Linked DNA regions of Drosophila melanogaster. The protein of the gene in region 2 interacts with the protein of the main gene of each other region in a pairwise test. Each region holds a gene or a part of one and is shown on either strand. Other genes may lie near its edges.

What was found.
Region 1: the proteins of TBC1D23 (region 2) and Pp2C1 interact in a two-hybrid assay, tested with the Drosophila melanogaster proteins (one large-scale study listed by BioGRID).

What each region holds. Positions count from the first base shown.
Region 1 is NC_004354.4:4,679,121-4,690,007, reverse strand, and holds Pp2C1 (protein phosphatase 2C), read left to right. Parts: upstream 1-3,104; 5' UTR 3,105-3,851; coding exon 3,852-4,896; intron 4,897-6,073; coding exon 6,074-6,521; intron 6,522-6,585; coding exon 6,586-9,376; 3' UTR 9,377-10,020; downstream 10,021-10,887.
Region 2 is NT_033779.5:1,126,001-1,134,471, reverse strand, and holds TBC1D23 (TBC1 domain family member 23), read right to left. Parts: upstream 5,157-8,471; 5' UTR 4,984-5,156; coding exon 4,967-4,983; intron 4,654-4,966; coding exon 3,291-4,653; intron 3,209-3,290; coding exon 2,519-3,208; 3' UTR 2,061-2,518; downstream 1-2,060. Other genes in the region: iris, read left to right, coding at 399-1,994; Pino (pinocchio), read left to right, coding at 6,127-6,343.

The sequences.
Region 1 (10,887 bases), on a different chromosome or scaffold from region 2:
GGGCAGACAAATCATAACGGTAAAGCTGGCAAAACTGTTGGCGGGCGGAATCGCACACAGTGAGAGCGAGAGAGGGAGGGATAGGGATTGCGGATAGGCGGGTGGGGATGGGAGGTAGACAGCCGAGAGTTGACAGGTGGCCAAAGGCAATGGAGTGAGAGGGACGGCATGTGTGTATTTGTATGGATGCTGCAGCTACCTCCACTTCTTCTTCTTCTCGCTTTTCTGATGAAGTCAATTAGAAAACTGCATTGACAGTTAAAAAGTGTAGGGGAAAGAGAGAGGGGAAAGAGGCAAGACAGGAAGCGGAAGAGAACACAAGTTGTATATTTATGAACATGAAACAGTGCTTGTTTTCAGCATTATTTTTTTGTTCAGTGTTAATCAAACACACATATAAAAATTCGTGTGTGTGTGGCTGCGTGAATGACTAGCAAAAAGCGTTCCATAGTAACTGCTGCAGGTCCCGGTCCAGTCCTGTCTCTCTCTCTCTCTCTTTCTCTTTTTCTCTCTGTGCTATCAGCCTGACATTTATATATAAATATATTAAATATATTAAATATATAAATATATTAAATATATAAATATATATATATATTTTAAATATATATATATATAAATATGTATATGCGTAAATGCCTAGCAAAAGGCTGGGACGGGGCCCTGCACCTGCTAATATGTAACGCTTTTTGCTAGTCATTCATTTTTTATATATATTTATGTATATTTTTTATAGATATATTATATACATATATTATTATATATATATATATATACTAGACTGGACGGGGCCCTGCACCTGATACTATGCAACGCTTTTTGCTAGTCATTCACGCAGCCACACACACGCGCCGCTTGCACATACACGCTGGGTAATTGAATTTCCCGTTTGCAATTGGAAACCCGCGAATTTTCAATGCAGGACTACACTCGGCTTCCCTCGCCGAACCTCTACTGTACTCTAATTAGCAATTTTCACACAGCCTAAGGGAAGAACAACTGAAACTTTCGACAGCTGATCAATCATTAGCCCGATTGTTCTCGAAAAACGTTGCGAAAACTCTGCTGAAACCGCTGACAAAAAATCACAAAATCTTCTACTATTACCTGCGTTTCTATGCATAATTAAAATGACGTCAACCCGAAAACTTGATATCAGCGTAGCTCCAAATAAGAGCCAGAAGCTGACAAAAAAAATGTTTTCTGTGTTCTCCCACACATTTTGCACCACGGGAACTTTTCGCATTATTAAAATGCATAACGTTGCTTTTGCATTCAAGAACATTCACACGGCGTTTTCTTTTTGTTTTTTGCTAGGTATTTTCTATGACTTACCTTTTAATTTTTCCTGATTGCGCGCGATTTTTTCACTCATAGTTCAACAGCTGTCACCAAATAAATTCTAATGCAATACCAAATTTGAACTTAAAAAAAAAAAGTTGTGGGCAGGAAAAATGCGGAATGCGTGTGTATGTGTTTGCTTATTTCTCTTTCGGTTTATTTTTTTTTTTAACAATTTTGCACGCAATACAAATTTAGCACGCCGCGGCTACTTCACTTTGAGAACAGAGAACGAGAAAAAAAAGAACAGTAGATAGGGAATTGTTTTTTCAGAAGATCTCTAGGAACCGGGTTGAAAAAACATTTGCCCCAATATACTTTATTGTGCGTGGATGTGTGGGTTTTTTACCGCTAAGCGTGTCGCCTGAATTTTACACTGGAACGGTAAATGGAAGGTAGAAACACCCTGACTTCTCGACAACTGAAACACAACTGAACGTTTTGCTTGCTGGTGATTAACTGAGTGACGGCTTCTATTTCGGTTTTCGACTTCGGTTAATCACACGACGGACGACGAGCTCCAACATACGAGTCGTAGGCGGCTCTGATTGGCCAGAACACGGCCGCGTCTGGCAGGCCACGCTTGGCGGGCGACGTCTGGCACCAGTGATGCTTATTATCGATTCGATAACACTTACCGATGTAGGGATGCTAATAATTGACTAGTAACGGGGGAATATTTTGTCGAGTATGGAATTAAAATCCGCGTAAAACTGTTGAAAGTCAAATATGTTCTCTGAAATCCTGCACTCGATAACCGGTATTCAATATTCGATTGAATGCAATTTAAAGACGGACATCACTGATATAGGAGTTCTAAACGATACAAGCAGCTGACTTTTCGGGTGCATTCGATTTAGCTTATCGCAAATATCAATTTATTTTATCGCACGCACTCGATTTATTTTATCATCTATGTATACATTTTTTTTTTTTAATTTTATATAAAAGAATTACTATTGCTGGCTAGCGGTGTTTCGATAAAAAAAACATATTTTTTGTATTGCAAGTAATTAAAACTATTTACAATAATAATGTTAAAGAAATCCAAGCCATACATTGTACATTCGATTAAATTTTGTATGATGCAACATAGTTTCAAAAGAAATCGACATGTAACTGACGAGAATATAAAAGCTGAGACGGATAATGAAACATATCTTTAATGTTATAAATTACAACCAGTTTGTTTCCAAATTTTTTTTCATTGACATACTTATTGCGTCAAGTAATAAACTAATTTAAAATAAGCATATGTAAAATAATAATGATACAATTAGTTTTTTTTATAAATGAAAACATTTATAATTATATGTTTGTCAAAAAATGCATTATAAAATGATATAAACGTTTGAAAATATACAGTACCCAAAATAATATTTGTATTCTTAATAATCTCGTTAGTTATCCGTAACTTGTGGTATTCATATATATCGCTATAAACATACGACTTTAGCTATATGAATGTATTTGAATGAGATGTGCAATAAGAAAATCGTTACCTTTTTTTAAACAGCTTATTGTGAATTCAATTATGATTATCATAATTCATTATGGAGACCAGACATTGTTTATTAAACTTATTGCTTTTAAATGTTAGAACAAATTTTAATTGCCAGAGAAAACTTACTTATAACAACTTATAATAAGTGTATAAATTACGAAAATCTTAAAAATAATGCACTCAATACATTCATCGATTGCAACCCCGTCCTCGTTGTTATCGATTGGTGTGCTGCCAGCATTATACATCGCCTATGGAGCGTGGTGTTTTCGACCTACTTTCACAACGGTCACACGCTTTCTATTTGATTTTTTTTTCAACATAATTTTTGTTAAACAATTTGCCGTGAATTTTGTTGTGTGTGTGGATGTGGACGTGCTGACAGCCAAAAAAATTAAAATAAAAAAAAAAGAAAAGTGTTCGCAAGTCGAGAGCAGAATCGAACGGCAAAAAATGCTGGCGAACAACAAATCATCAAGGTAAAACTGCGCGCCTTGGTCATTAAGTCTTTCATCGAGGATAAAAGACCGATGTCTTTTAACGTTATTGCTGTAAGCAAAAGCAGAAATCACAATCTACTCATAAATCCTCGATTTGGTGCAAATTAAAGGAAATTCATCGGTTTTTGGCGGCCAGTTGCAAACACAAAATACTAAATACGCTAGATGGAGCACGCATACACGCAAGCTCGTTGGCGAACGTAAATTACATACATCATATAGATAGTCGTCCCGCTTGCACTGCCCGTCACAGCGAGGGCTGCGAGAGCGAGAGCGGGAGAGAGAAAGGCCTGAGTCGCTTTTTCTTCTTGTACTTTATATATTTTTTATTGTTTTTTTGTGTTGTGTTGCGTTGTACGTGTGTGTGAGAGTGCCAAATGTCAACGGAAATTACAACACTGCGAGACGGAGAAGTCTAAAAGGCAGAAGAAGAAGAAGCAGCAGCAGGCAGCATAAACAAAACTCGGGGGAAAACCACAAAAAATAACAGAGGGAGAAGCAGGAAGATGTTGCCCGCCAATAACAGGAGTAGCACCAGCACCCATACCAACACAAATGCCAACACAATCAACGCCACTACCAATACCACCAACAGATGCCTCATCAATACGGCCATCGAAAAAACGGTAGTCCGTTTGCGAGAGACGGCAGCGAATAGCGGTACTTTCCAGGACTCAGATGAGTCGTCCGTGGAATTTGATATTATTAACTATTATGGGGACGACGGCGGCACAACTCCAGCACCAGCTCCAGCCACAGCCTCCGTTACTCGCCACGGCGGCAGCAGCAGCGGCAATAACAACAATAACAGTGCATGCCATCCAGCACTGGATGCCAGCAGTGATGTTGTTGTTGTTGAACCGGCAGCGGTAGGAGTCGCACAGGAGGAAGAGGAAGAGCCGGAGCAAAGGCCAGAGAGGATCAGCATACCCATTCCCGACCTGGCGTTCACCGAGATGGAAGCATATGCCGAGGATATAGTCGTCGATATGGAGGGGGGATCACCAGCCAAGCCTTTAAATCCAAAGAAACAACGTTTAAACTCAGCAACAACCACAACAATAAATCGCTCGAGGGGCGGCGGAGCGGCACAGAGTCGATTACGCCGGTCGGCGGCCATCGTTCCACCGCGATCGATTCCAGAGAGCTGTGCCAGCAGCAGCAATTCCAATTCGAGCAGCAGTTCCAACAGTAATTCCAGTTCCAGCTCCGCTACAGGAAGTAGCGCATCCACCGGCAATCCGTCGCCGTGCTCCTCCCTGGGCGTCAATATGCGCGTAACTGGACAATGCTGCCAGGGAGGCCGGAAATACATGGAGGATCAGTTCTCGGTGGCCTACCAGGAATCACCGATCACCCACGAACTGGAATACGCATTTTTTGGCATCTACGACGGACACGGCGGTCCCGAGGCCGCGCTCTTCGCCAAGGAGCACCTTATGCTCGAGATCGTCAAGCAGAAGCAGTTCTGGTCTGATCAGGATGAGGATGTCCTGCGGGCAATACGCGAGGGATACATCGCCACACATTTCGCCATGTGGCGGGAACAAGGTGAGCAAGAAATAGCTGGGAAACTAAGCCATCTTACAGTTGAGACAACCCAAAGAAAGCAGTTAGTTGGCATAAAGATTTTAAATCATACGAAAAAAAGAGAATATAATATACTTGTATTTGTATTTGTTTTTGTGCCTTCTCTCATGCAATTTCATATCAAAATTGTTGCCAATGCCAAGCGACCGTTAGAGATGCGCGAAAACTGAATTAACTGCCAGTTGGCGGCATTCAAACCGCGTAAGTCCCCGTTGTCAGGGTTGCCGTTTCGCACCACCCCCCCACCCACACAAAAAAAAGTTGCCTCAAGTTTCGAGCTGCTCCCTTGGGTCTCCCATCTCTAGGTAATTATGCAACCGTGTGTGGCGATGACTCAACCATCGCTCAATTGCTCATCTCTATTGTCAGCCCACACTAAAAAGATACAAGTACAGCAGCAGATACAGATACAAATGCACACACACACTTAGTTATCGCGAGTGGAATATTCCACGGACTTGCCATATGGCTGTACTCTCGCCAAGCATGGCAACCCCGCTGTGAGTTAGAGCGGGACGTCCGTATGGCGGCGCGGCCCACCAAGGCGTTTCGAAATGCGAGAACGAAAGAGATGCAACGAGTGAGAGAGCGAGAGGTGGCCAAAGAGAAAAGAAAATAAATGTGTGCCCATTTTCCTATTCGCATAACAAAAACAATGTACACAGAAATTCAAGGGATGCCAGAAACGCAGATACACGTTTGTAGGTGTGTATCTGTGTGGGAAATATCAATATCCGTCGTTTCGATATACCAATATATTCAGTTAAGCGCCAAAAATCCAGGGGCCTTAGAAAATGATTTTTTCAACTGCTTGCATCATGTAAAGTGGCTGTTTAAATGCTATTACTCATTGCCTCATTAAATATATAAATATAAGTAGAAATTGTATTTAGTTGTTTGGGAAAATCCAGAATTTTAAAGCGATTTGGTATTGTTTTCTTTTTGTCCTTACCCTATTCATTTTTTATAATTTCATTAAGTTATTTAGGTTTTCTGTTAAAATGAAGGAAATTTTATGACTTACACAACCATTTTTTTTTTTTTTTGTTAAGGCTTAATTCTTCTTTGATAACGTATAAGTTAAGTTGGAATTATGGAAAATTCTAAAATCTGGTATTATCCTTTCCCAACCCCGCAGAGAAATGGCCACGCACTGCCAATGGGCATCTGAGCACCGCCGGCACCACCGCCACAGTGGCCTTTATGCGTCGCGAGAAGATCTACATTGGTCATGTGGGTGATTCTGGGATCGTTTTGGGTTACCAGAACAAGGGCGAACGCAACTGGCGTGCTCGTCCACTGACCACGGACCACAAGCCGGAGTCACTGGCAGAGAAGACGAGAATCCAGCGTTCCGGCGGCAATGTTGCCATCAAATCGGGAGTTCCGCGAGTGGTATGGAACCGACCCAGGGACCCAATGCATCGCGGTCCCATTCGCCGCAGAACTCTGGTAGATGAAATACCCTTTTTGGCGGTGGCTCGTTCCCTGGGCGATCTCTGGAGCTACAATTCCCGCTTCAAGGAATTCGTTGTGAGTCCCGATCCGGATGTCAAAGTGGTTAAAATAAATCCCAGTACCTTTAGGTAAGTGATCCTGATTAATTAGCTAAACTGCTGGACATCTTAATATTGAATAATTTGCCTGCAGATGCTTAATTTTCGGCACCGATGGCCTGTGGAATGTGGTGACCGCCCAGGAGGCGGTGGACAGTGTGCGCAAGGAGCATCTAATCGGCGAGATACTCAACGAGCAGGACGTTATGAATCCCAGCAAGGCGCTGGTGGATCAGGCCCTCAAAACCTGGGCCGCCAAGAAGATGCGTGCGGACAACACGTCCGTTGTGACTGTGATACTAACACCAGCGGCCCGCAATAATTCGCCCACAACGCCAACACGTTCCCCATCCGCGATGGCACGCGACAATGATCTGGAGGTGGAGCTACTGCTGGAGGAGGACGACGAGGAGCTGCCGACACTGGATGTGGAGAACAACTACCCTGACTTTCTCATCGAGGAGCATGAGTATGTGCTGGACCAGCCGTACAGTGCATTGGCCAAGCGACATTCGCCTCCGGAAGCCTTCCGCAACTTCGACTACTTCGATGTGGACGAGGACGAGTTGGATGAAGATGAGGAAACAGTGGAAGAAGACGAGGAGGAGGAGGAGGAAGAGGAGGAAACCAAATCGGTGGGAATTCTACAGCAAAGTTTGTTCAACCCCAGAAAAACGTGGCGCAAGTCAACCATCAACAATTCCTGGAGTGGCGTCACCGAACCGGAACCGGAACCCGATCCCGAACCAGATCGAATAGATGTCTTAACACTGGACATGTACTCCCACACCAGCATTGACAAGGGCACCAATTATGGCGGCAGCATAGCCCAGTCCTCAATAGATCCTGCGGAGACGGCTGAAAATCGTGAGCTGAGTGAGTTGGAGCAGCATCTGGAGAGTAGCTACAGTTTCGCCGAGTCGTACAACTCCCTGTTAAACGAGCAGGAGGAGCAGGAGGCACGCTCACGTTCAGCAGCAGCAGCAGCCGCCGCCGCAGAAGCAGCAGCAGTAGAAGCACAACAAACCACTGCCCATTCCGCATCCGTTGTGCTGGACCGCAGCATGTTGGAGATCATCCAGGAGCAGCAGCACTATCAGCAGCAAGAGGGCTATTCGCTAACGCAACTAGAGACCAGACGTGAAAGGGAGCGGCTGACCGAATCGTGGCCACAGCAGCCGGCTGAGCTGCTCGAGCTGGATGCTCTACTGCAGCAGGAGCGTGCCGAGGAGGAGCAGGTAGCCCTGGAGCAGCAGCAGCAGCGCGAACAGCAAATGGAGCAAATGGAGGTGGAGGCCATTAGTAGTTCGGGACAGCACGAATTTGCTTACCCAGTGACCACCGCCACAGCCAGCGAGTGGTGTGCTACATTACAAGAAGACGAGGAGGAGTTGGACTCCACAGTAATAGACATAGTAATTCAACCCGAACAAGAGTTGCAGGACAATGAAGTGAGCTCCACGTTGCCCGCCACACCCACTCATGTGGAGCCTGAGCAGATTGTGGACAAGATGGAGCCCCTGAAGGTTCAGGAGATGCTAACCGCGGTCGAAAAACCTCCATCCAAGCAGGAAAAGAAGCTGCCGAAGAAGCAAGAGACCAAACAGGTTGCTGTGCTAGATACAGTGGCCGAGATGCCCAAAGAGGATGCCCATGCCGTGCACTATATATTCCAGCGCATTCAAAAGGTTCAGGACTCTGAGGCAACACCAGTGGCCGTGACGAATTCCACAATGGCTGACGCCCTGCCCACCGAATCTAGTGGACTGGGAGGATCTATGACCGCGCCCCGAATCCGACGCTATCGCAACGTGCCCAACGAGAACCATCAGCACATGCAGACGCGTCGTCGTCAGATCTTCAAGCATGTCAAGCCAAAGTCCTTCATACAGTCCAGTGCTGCGGCGATTGTGGCCTATGGAGACAGCACCGAAACGGTCGGAGGAACAGCCGGAGCATCTGGCACACCTGCAGCTGGGCGTGTAGGCGGGGGCGGTGGCGGCGGCGGCGGCAGAGGATCGGCCAGTGGTGGGAGCAGTCCAGCGGTGGCAGCCAATAGTCGGCGGAGCGTCAATGTGGTGGCCAATGCGAGTGGAAACAGCGCTAGCAAAGTTGTGCCCAGCAGCAGTTCCATGATGATGACCCGCCGCAGTCACACCTTGACGGCCAGCGGTGGTGTGAACAAAAGGCAGCTGCGCAGCAGTCTCTGCACCTTGGGCCTGGGTGTGGGTGTCGGTGTCGGTCTGGGCATGGACCTGGACATGACCAAGCGCACGCTAAGGACAAGGAATGTACCCGCTTTGTCGGGCGGTTCAGCCACGCCATCTAGCAATTCGTCGCCAGCCAGCGGAGGCAGCAGTCCAGCCGGTTTCACAAGCCCAGCCAGTCCGGTCATCACGTCCAGGGGAAGCGGATCGCGTACTACCGCCTCGCCAGCCAGGCGCCTAAAACGCAGTCATGAGGATCGGGAGCAAAGAATGAGCTTGCGACGGAGCACTCTGAGTGGCAGTGCCAGCGGCAGTGGGCTGGTGGGCACTGGTGGGTCGCCCTCGAATGTGAAATCAAATCGCCTGCAGGCCTGCAATGGAGCCATCTCTGCGCGTCCGCCGCCCTCGCCGAAGAAACTGAATGCAGCCGTGCCCACATTGGCAATTGGAACGCGTGCATATACGGCGGCGTTGGCGGCGGCGGCGGATCACCTGAACAAGCGGTGGTCGTTGCGCAGCAGCAGTGGCAACTCTGGCAATCTGATAACCGCCATCAGTTGCTACAGTGACAGGAGCAGGGCGGCGACTGCGGCGGGATCACCGGGATCTGGAGGCGGGGCAGCGGGACCACCAGGAGCATCTTTGGCCGCATCCACAGTCGGCACGCGAAGGCGCTAGGCTAGATTGTAACGAAACATGCGAGCAACTTGCAAGTACAAATCCTAAGCAACGGAAAATTTTAGATCCTAGTATACTACTTTACTGAAAACGCAAAATTGCATAATTTAACCAATTTTTTTATGTGCACAACACACACACACACACACACATCTTTTAAATGTATATATAAAAAACTGTATAAGCCGCCGCATAAAAAAAAATATATATATTGATATATATACATTTATACCTACGCCTAAACAATTAAACAAATTCATAGTGTAGCTATAAGTCGAAGTTAGTAAATAGCAAAAAGTACATAGGAATATATATATAGATATATATATTTTTTGTATCGCCCAAAGTAAGAAGTTCTCCAACATCCGAAAGTTTTCCTCAACATAAATATTCTCTTTTCTAACTAAATCGTTTCGTTCAGTGTACGGCAGACTGGAAAGTATTTTTATCTCGTCTCTTGTGTTTAACTGTTTTACGCTATGTTGTCTAAGATAGTTGATAAGTTAGGCTAACACGAGAGAAGCTAATATTTTTAGGTTTATCATTTAATTTTTTTTTTTGTTCTTCGCTTGTAAGGTGTTCACCACTTGCGTTTGCAAGTCATTTTCATGTCATCGCGAAATATTTTCAATTGAAATACATCTATTTTTACATAATTCTATGGGTTTTTGGATTTTCATTCAATTTAGCATATGGATTCTCATAATCAAATTTAATTTTAAAGTAAGACATTTTTTCAAGTGTCGATAATTATGGTTGACCATATAGCATGGTCACACTGGCATGGTTTGCTATAAAGTGAATTAAATGTTTTGCGTCCCAAGTAAATGCAACAAAAGCTGGGAACAAAATGTCATTGCTCTCAAGAGTTTTGTTTCACCTATTGGGCGGATGTTTATCAATAAGTAAAGAAGAATTTTTAGAAATTTATTGCAACATTTAAACCCAACGGCTATGACCAGCTGATTTGCTATAAATACAGTATATTAGTGTGAAATTCAGTATTTTCCATAGAAGTAGGCCCGCATTATGTATGGTATGTTTTAGTCACTCCACGAACGGTAACACTTTGGCTTGTTTGCTTGAAAAAACGTAACTTTTTTTGTTGTAATGAAGGAAGCAGCACGGGCAGTAGACCAACTCGAAATCGCGCATTGCCAACACGTAACGTACCAGCCCGTGTAATAACAGAAGAAACCCCGAGCCGCAACAACAACCCCCGAAAAGCGGTAGTTGTAAGAGTTTTCCCAAAGTGGCAGCGGCAATTACACGGCGAGAAACGAGTTCGCGTCGCGTCCAGCTGTTTGAAAATCAAAATTAACCGTTTTTAGCGCGTGAAACAAGACGTTTAGAACCGTGTTCAAAATGTAAGTGCCCCAGAAAAGCCGTAGATTACGGAAAAACTAAAGCTGTGGTAAAGTGTCAGCTAGTCTAGTCTGCTAGTGTGTGTGTGTGTGTGTGCGCTTTGCGTCGATGTGTCTTAACAGTTATGTCTGGCATAGATAACCGTC
Region 2 (8,471 bases):
GCCGGCGCCGGATCTGCAAAGAGCTGCGTTACTGCCAGGTCGCATCGGTGGGCCTCTGTGGTGCTGGTTATGCCGCTATGACACTGGTTGTTATGTAAATTCACTATATTAGTACTCAATGCACTTGACTAGTGTAAAATGTATAATAAATATGGATGGCTTATGTTATATTTGTATATTATATATTTATATTATATTTATTTGAAAGCTAATTCTGGCTAATTGCCTCACTTGCAAATATTTAAAAATTTATATTGCGCACAATGATCCGATCATTTTGCTATATCAGCAATTGAACATACATATGGACATGCACTACCGCTTGCTACCCGATTCTCAGGAGCTCACCTTCAGTTTAGCGCGGAACTCTGGGCAACGATCACCTCTACAAGCGAAAGATGAAAGCGATTAGTTTGGTATTCATCCTCGCCCCCTCGCTGATAGCGCTCTCCCATGGAAGCCCAGTTGATCGGGAGGCGATCGGAGGTCCGATGGCGATGCGGGGATTCAACAACAGTCTGGGCACCTTCGTGGAGTACAGCGGTCAGGCATCGCTAGCCTCCAGAGATTGGAAGTTATGTGCCAGCTTCAACTTGGAGTCGCTTTATACGGCAATACGTGCGTTCAATGGTGTCTACAAGGCTTTGGTCGATGTGTGCGATATCCAAAGGAATCTTTGTCCAGAAATTCTGGACATTACCAAGTTTGCGGATAGTATTCTTCACGATGGACTAATTGACTTGGAGAAAGCGTTGGACTTTAGGGCCGGACGACTTTCTTTGGGAGATGACGACGTGTCCATCGAGCTTGGGATGGGAACATCCTGCATTGACAGCTCCATTAATGTTATAAATGTGATACTTCAAGAACCCTTTCACGAGGCTTATGAACCTGAAAACCTGATTATGATGAAGCCGTATCTATACCTTATGGGCAGCAGACTAAAAAGTGCCCAGAATGCCATAACTGAAGCCATAATCTCTGCCCACCACGGAAAGCTTAGTCCTCTTGTCCTTTCAATGAAACAGCTGCAAGCGAAGATGCCGCCAATTCTGGGAGATCTGGATGGCCGATATACAATCCGGAATATTTACCTTCTCGCCTCCGTAGTTCCTCGGCAGCGGGGCAACCACGTGGAGTTCCAAATCACAGTGCCCTTGCTCGATGCGGAGAAGTTTAATATCTACCGATTGACGCCCATTCCACGGTTAAACAATGGCGTAATCCAACTGGTGGACACCGAAACACCTTATCTGGGCATCAACGATCATATGGACAGGTATTTTCCGCTTCAGAGCTTGGACGACTGCATCAAGTTGGGCGAAGAAAGGTTCATCTGCAGGCGCAACCGCATTATCTACGGGACTGGGGATGACAGTTTTGCCTGCTCCCTGGCGGCCATACGGAACCAGTCTTCCGAAGTCTGCACCTTGCGTCAAGTGAAGGAGAAGAGTCTGTGGACAGAGATGGTGGCACCAAACTCCTGGATGGTGGCCCTTACCAATGAGCTAACTTTAATAGGAGTGTGCTCCGGTGAGAGGCAGGAGCTCCAATTGAATGGCAGTGGAATCCTGAGCATTCAAAGCGACTGTGCCGTGCGCAGTCCAGCTGTCGCCCTCCGTGGAGAAGTCCGGGAAAGAGTTCCTTCGAAAGCAGGTTACGCAACGCTGCAGAAGGAACCAAAATCTTCCCAGGAATCCGTGACCTTGGAATCATTTAATCAACTCCTGGCGATCGTGGGCAAACTGGAGCTGAATCAGAAAAAGCTGGAAGCAGTCCGAGATTACCCAATGGTAGTCGTAGTAGTAGTAGCTGTGTGCGCAGCCATATTGCTGGTCGCCTTACTTGTTTCGGCGACCTGGTTATATCGCACCCATCGGAGCAAACAACTTGCGCAGGCTCAAAATCTTGTCAACGAAGTCAATGGTCTCCAGGATCCACAGAATCGCACCACAACCTGCAATCTTCCGCTGCTGGAAAAACATGAAATCTAAAAAAAAAAGAAGATGCGGCTGCGTGGTGCATCTGTTAAGTTCCGATGAAATTTCAAAGAGAGCTATGATTTTTTAACAATTTTTTGTGTCGATTATAATACAGTTTTATTTGTTTGGTTTGATTGCAATAAATATTAGTTACTCTCATCATGTACACGTTGTAAGTCTCAGGGCTTCGGTAAGGGTTCCTTATTCGCACTTAGAAATTTAGAAAATTGGGATCGGGGGCGTGGCATGCTCGGGATGGCCATGTGATCTGGGACTACGTTCGACTATTTTCTTCAAATCCGGTCTCTGCACCGAGTGCACTATGTTACAATTGCAGCCAGCGCTTCGTTTACAATAAGAACTATACTATTTCAGCTAATACAAGGAAAACAATGCCAATTACAAACTATTACACCGCTCGCAGCGGCGCATTGCACTTTGTGTCTCTGATTTTTGTATCAGTGGCCGTTCATGAAATAAAGCTTGATGCGGAAAGGCGGAAACAAGAAGAGCATGCGGCGGTTGTCCGGTTTATCCTACTTGGCGTCGTCAAGCACCTGCACGATGAGCCTTGAAATCAGTGCCGTAACTTCGGCCGCATTTGGTATGAGGAAGCGGTCCATGTCGGTTATGAGCAGACCATCGCCATCGGGGAATCCGTACTTGAACGTGATGAGGTCGCGGTGTCGCTTCTTGGCCGTGATCTTCACGATGCTCGCCAGCGGGCGACGCACCATTATCTGCGCCTGGCCGCGTCCCAGTTCCCGCAGCACCACCAGTTGCCCGGGCGTGATGATCAAATGACTGTCGTACATGTAGCCGCTCATGTGCACCTCCTGGCACTTGAAGGCGTTGATGATGTCCGCCGTCTTGAAGTACTGGTTCAGATTCACGATCTCCTTGCCGTCGCTGGTCAGCGGTGCGTCATCCCGCTCCCCCGCCCCGTCCAAGGCATCCTCGTTCTCATCGTCGATGCTGAACACAGGTGCCACATTGCGGTAGCGCTTGCCGTTCCGCTCCTTTGCACTAACATGGCGCTCTTGCACCGGCGCCGATGGCACACCATTGGTGCCGCTAGCCGTGGCTCCGCCATTTGCACTGGGATTCACGATAATGTCTAGTAGTTTGCCCTTGACCTCGGCAGACTTTGACTTCATGGCGGCGGAGAACTTGCTGAATAGGTCTGTAGAGGATGGCGTCGAAGTCTTAAGCGGCGCTGATTTAGTCTGCAGGAGCGGAATTGAGAAATTATAAGTATACTAATTCGATTCAAAGTATTGTACATTTCCTGAGTTATCGAAGTCTTACCTGCTGCGCGTTGTGCTGCTGGCAGACGAGGCACTTGCGCGCATTGTGATCCTCCAGGCAATCGGCCATTTGATCGCCGAAGTAGTCGTGGATGGAGGCGTAGCCACCGGTCAGCAGCGACACGTAGTGGGTGTTCTTCTGCAGGAACGAGGCCACCACCATGTGTGTGTACTGGTCCTCTTCGACGCGACCGCTGCCCATGAAGCACAGATGCTCGCCGCCGGCGTTCGAGTTGGCCTCGATGGCCTGCCGCTGGGCGGTCAGGAGGCCCTGGACGGCGGTGGCAAAGGCGACAGGTTCCTGGAGCATGAGGTTGCAGTCCAGATGGAATGCCGTGGACAGGTGGCCGGCGTTGTATTGCTCGGCCGGGCGGCAGTCAACGAGAAAGAAACGCACTGCATCCGGCACAGGAAACTCTGTGGCCGAGTTCTCTACCAGCTCGTAAACGGAGACGGGCAGGCACAGGGCCTGTGATACCTTGTTTGCCTCCTCCTGGCTGCGCGGTGTATCATTCTGCTTGCCGTACAGCGCCTTCAGATAGTCCGTCTTGAAGGAAGTTGGTGTCTTGAGCGCGTAGTACTGGGCCAGGGAGCAAAAGTCGGGGACGTCGTCGAACTCCAGGGCGCACGGCATAAGGCTCAGGAACTTGATGATCTCCTCCTTGGACGAGCTCCTCATCTGCAGGATCTGCTCCCTGCCGTTGATCAAGATTATTAGCGCCAGGAAGAAGACCATGAAGGGATCGGCGTTCTGAAAGTACAGGTCCCACATGGCAATGATCACTGACAGGCTGCTGCAGGAGGCGAAAAGCGACTGGAACCAGGTCAGCGAGTACAAGTCGGGCGTGATCTTCTTGGTGTCCAGCAGCGTGCACAGCTCCGGATCGTGGTAAAGCAGGAGCAGTCGGAAGACATGAAAGACATTGCCCTTGGGCCGGCAACCCTTGGGTATGTACGTGTCTCGTATGGACTCGAACAGGTTGAATGTGTCGGAGCGATTCAGCTTCAGGGCGAACAGCGGGAGCAGCAATTCAATCCATCCGTTGTCCGGCTCATACTGAAGGTTTCTGTTCTTGCAGTAGAAGGTGATGATGGACTCGAGGTCGGATACCACCGAGACCTTGTCCTCCTCATCGTTGCCCATGCGATCGACGTGCCGCTGGCAATCCTCGCGCAGTTGGCTTTGGAAGGGCAGGTCGTAGATCTCGTTGAAGAGCGACATTTGATCCGATTTGTGGCGCACATCCAGGCACACTTGCCACACGTCCGGACGCAGTGCCTCCGGCAGAGCCTTGCCCTGGCATATGCCGTAGATGTCGTTGACAGTGCAGTCGTCCAGCAGTGCCGACTCCAGCTCAATGATCCTGCATACAAGAGAGGGATGTCCATCACAATCAGTTGCTTGGTACTTGTTCTGCTCATGCTACGGGTGAAGGGGACGTCAACGTGTCTAAATAACCAGCTGCTGATAAGGCGGAGCACCCACACCCCCAGGTGCTCCGCGTCCCGCTGGCCCAGCACCAAGCTGCTGACTCAATCAGCGAAACAAATGGTGGTCTGTTCGAGAAAGCCAAAGGCGATGGATGCCAAAGAAAATGAGGTGCTGGAGCTGAATCTCTAGACTCTCTGACTAATCTTAGTTGTTGACGTAGCCCCAACCCAATGTTTATTATTTACCACATATTCTCCTCCATGATTTCGCTGTGGGCTAGTTCCTACGTTTCGGATTCGAAATGCTGCCTTAGTGCAATCTATTCAGCTGCAGAAGGCCAGGCTGGTGCATTTTCTTTCTGTTCCAGGTGCGAATAATGATTTTTGTGATATTCCAAATTTATTTTGATCGAATTTTGGTTACGTTATGATGGTTACGTTTATAGCGATGGGAGGTGCTTACGTCTGCCACGGCGCACGTTAGAGATGGCAGTGTGCATATGAACTAACAATACAATTGTATTAAGATATTTGTAATAAATCGTTAAAAATGATTACAAACTTGATACTTGTCAGAATGCTAAAATTTGAGATAACAAATTAGAAAATAAATTTAAGTTATATTGTTATATATATATAAGGTTATTCAGCGGGATCTAAGCAAACTATCTATATTATTTTCATATTACAGGTATCAAAAGAGAATAGAAAATTTTAGTTTGTTCATTTGAACATTGAAGTTGAAATGCATAACGCTTTCTGTCCTATCGATTAGTGTTGCCAACTACGATAATCGACAGCTGACCACCTCTAGTTGCCAGCAATTTTGCAAGCAAAGTTTTGTTTTGCCTGAATTTTATCCAAATTTAACTTAAAATTCGGTTGCGTTGGCCTAAATTTGGATACTTAACTTCAAGCTGGTCGACTGAGCGTGCTGCTAGTATAAAGGTGAGTGAGCTTAGAGGCCAGCACACGTAACACAGATTTTAGGCATTTCCATGCAAACACACATGTATGGAGACCAAACAAAATTTGCAAAAGCAATAACAGCAACAAATACACGAAGCGAATGCAATTGCTCACTCATGCATGCAAACACACACTCACACACATGTAGCCTTCACCCAAATAAAATTTAGCTTGCATCTATTGATTTGCATGTTGCACTTGTGCAAAGAAGTGTTGTAAGAAGTGCGGGGAGGGGTAAGCGTGCAACAGCTGTGTGCCTGCTCCCCTCCCCCTTGACTGTGTTATCAACCACCCCCCCACCCCCCTTTATCCAAACACTTGGCCAATCAACACAAGCTGCGCTTTAAGCCACGTGTGTACTTTTTGCTGTTTGCATGCCAGCACGTATCTGCTTAGCCAAGGAATCCTCTAATTGCGTTTCTCTTACCCTTATGGAGATGAAAACGGGCAGCAACAACAACCACATCTCCGCCAGCAGCAGCAGCAGCAACAACAACAACAACAGCTCATTGGTGCAACAGCAGCAGCAACGCTCCACCACTTCCGTTTCCGTCTCCTCGTCTCACATTGTCACCGAGTGGGAGGATGGCATCATTTTCGATGTGGACGATCCCGACTTTTGCAATCTGGCCACCGACAAGCTGAACTTCATAGGTGAGTGCGCCATAGCGAGTTCGTACATATAATTAGCCACCCGATTATATTTATAGTCTAGACATCGGAGTAATCTATGTTATTTACGATTAGCCGTAGCGAAGCCCACTAATTGAGCAGCGGAAAACGCTAGTCGCACCTTTGTACTAGCTGCATCGGCTTATCGCCAAGTGGTTTTCCCGTCTCTTGGAGTCCCGGCTTTTGTCCGATCGGGCGGAAACTGCCGTACACTTTTATTAATGCCCATACACTCCGGCTTTATCTTCGAATGGCATTGATAGTGGGTCGGTCGCCTATAAGCAGGGGCCATCAATTTTACAATCCCGGAATAGCCAACACTCTGTCTTCCCCAAAGAGTTCCATTTAAAATTAGTACCATTCCGTGCTGTTTTTAGCACGTACCCGTACGCATCCCACGAAAATTGGCCGATCCATCAATTACCATTCGAAATGGATGAGAGAGTGGGCTCCCAGTGGGGCTAATTGTTTTGCCCGTTTGCCCGTTTATCTGCCATCTGATTAGACGTACAAGCGGGTCGTGCGACTAGCCTATTCACACGTTTCGCTTGTCACCCAGAACTCAGAACGCCCAATTCACGCGTTTGTCATGTGACTGCGGATCGGATCGAAGCGAATCGGACAAGCCTCTCCAGCCGATCATGCCTCTCCTTCGCTTCATCGGCTGCGGAATGGGTGCCAAAAGAGTGTGCAAACATTTCCGATGGCCCGGCAGTTCAAGTGGAATTTTTCCCCAATTTTGGTAAACAATAACATTGCCGGCTTATGCGTGCTAGCGTGAGCTGTTTTTTGCATGCATATTGCCCCACCGACAACCGGCACGTGTCGCCCATAAAAGGCTTCTGTGGAGCAGGGCTTATGGAGCCAAACTTGCGTGTGAGCCGCCCACCATGAGAGTTGCAAATGAACTCCCTTATCCGGTCTTAAGTGGGCCAGTTAATAAAGGTACAACTTCTAGGAATGATTTATTTCTTATGAAGACTGATTGGTTTATTGCTCCAAATCTTGGTACTTAAGTTCCCACATTTTCCGTTGTTCAACCCAAAAGGAAGCGAAAGTTGGTCAGTTGCGAACTATTGCGCTTAGCTCGCACATTTGCGAATGATTAGCATATTGCATCAGACGATTTGCAATCAGCTTCGTCTGCCAGAGCTACACGGTCTCACGGTTCATGTTGATGTTGTAAGGCCTTAAATGAATCGTAGAATCGCGGTCGATCAAAGCTGAGAAGCGATTTATCCGAACTATTTATAGGACTGTAAGTCAGCTTTATCGGCATGACTCACGCACATTAGATCTGATCTTTCGGCTGAACGCACAGGCCGTACCTTTGCCACTTATCATGATGGATGTAGTGGAATTTTATTATCTGAACTGATCGCTCTTGTGCTTATCTCGCGTGGGACTTGAGTCATCCGCCGTCTAGACCGGCTATTCCTTATACAACATTAATTATAATTGTTGGAGCGGTGGGAAGCGTTTGTAGAATTCGCTGGCGAATCTCATGCGCGGACACGGGAGCTTGCATAAGCGTTTTGCATGCATAAAATGCTTATTAAAACGACAAACGTAACGACAGTTTTTAAAAATAAAACCGTTTTCGGTTTCGCAATGTCCCCTCAACCCACTGTCTGCGTTTTGCGTTCCCATGCTCATTATAGAACGGACCGCCACGCGCAGTCCGTTCACGATTTTGTTTAATTTGTCGACTCGACCGTCCGTGCATGATAAGTCCCATTGACTGCCGCCGACGTCTCCGGTATGGCGCAGCAGCCCCGACGTCTCAGGTTCTCCAATCTCCGGCGAAAGCCGATAGCCCTCCGCAACGCAGTGGACGTGTGCTGGGTGCACAGGTGCGGACATGTGTCTAATTCTGCGGCGATGGCGTGATGGAAAGTGCCCAAATGCAATCCGATCCGTCAGCTTCGACTTCTGATCGGGACCTGGCGCCGGGCTTTGTGGTCTGGACACCAGTTAGAGGCGGCTCCAGATGGGTGCAACCGATTCGCTTTGGTCTCAACCGGTTCGGTGCTAAGTAGCCCCCCCGTTTGGCGGATTTGATCCAAGATACAGCGAGAAAAGATCACCAGAGTGTCAACCAATATGCGCT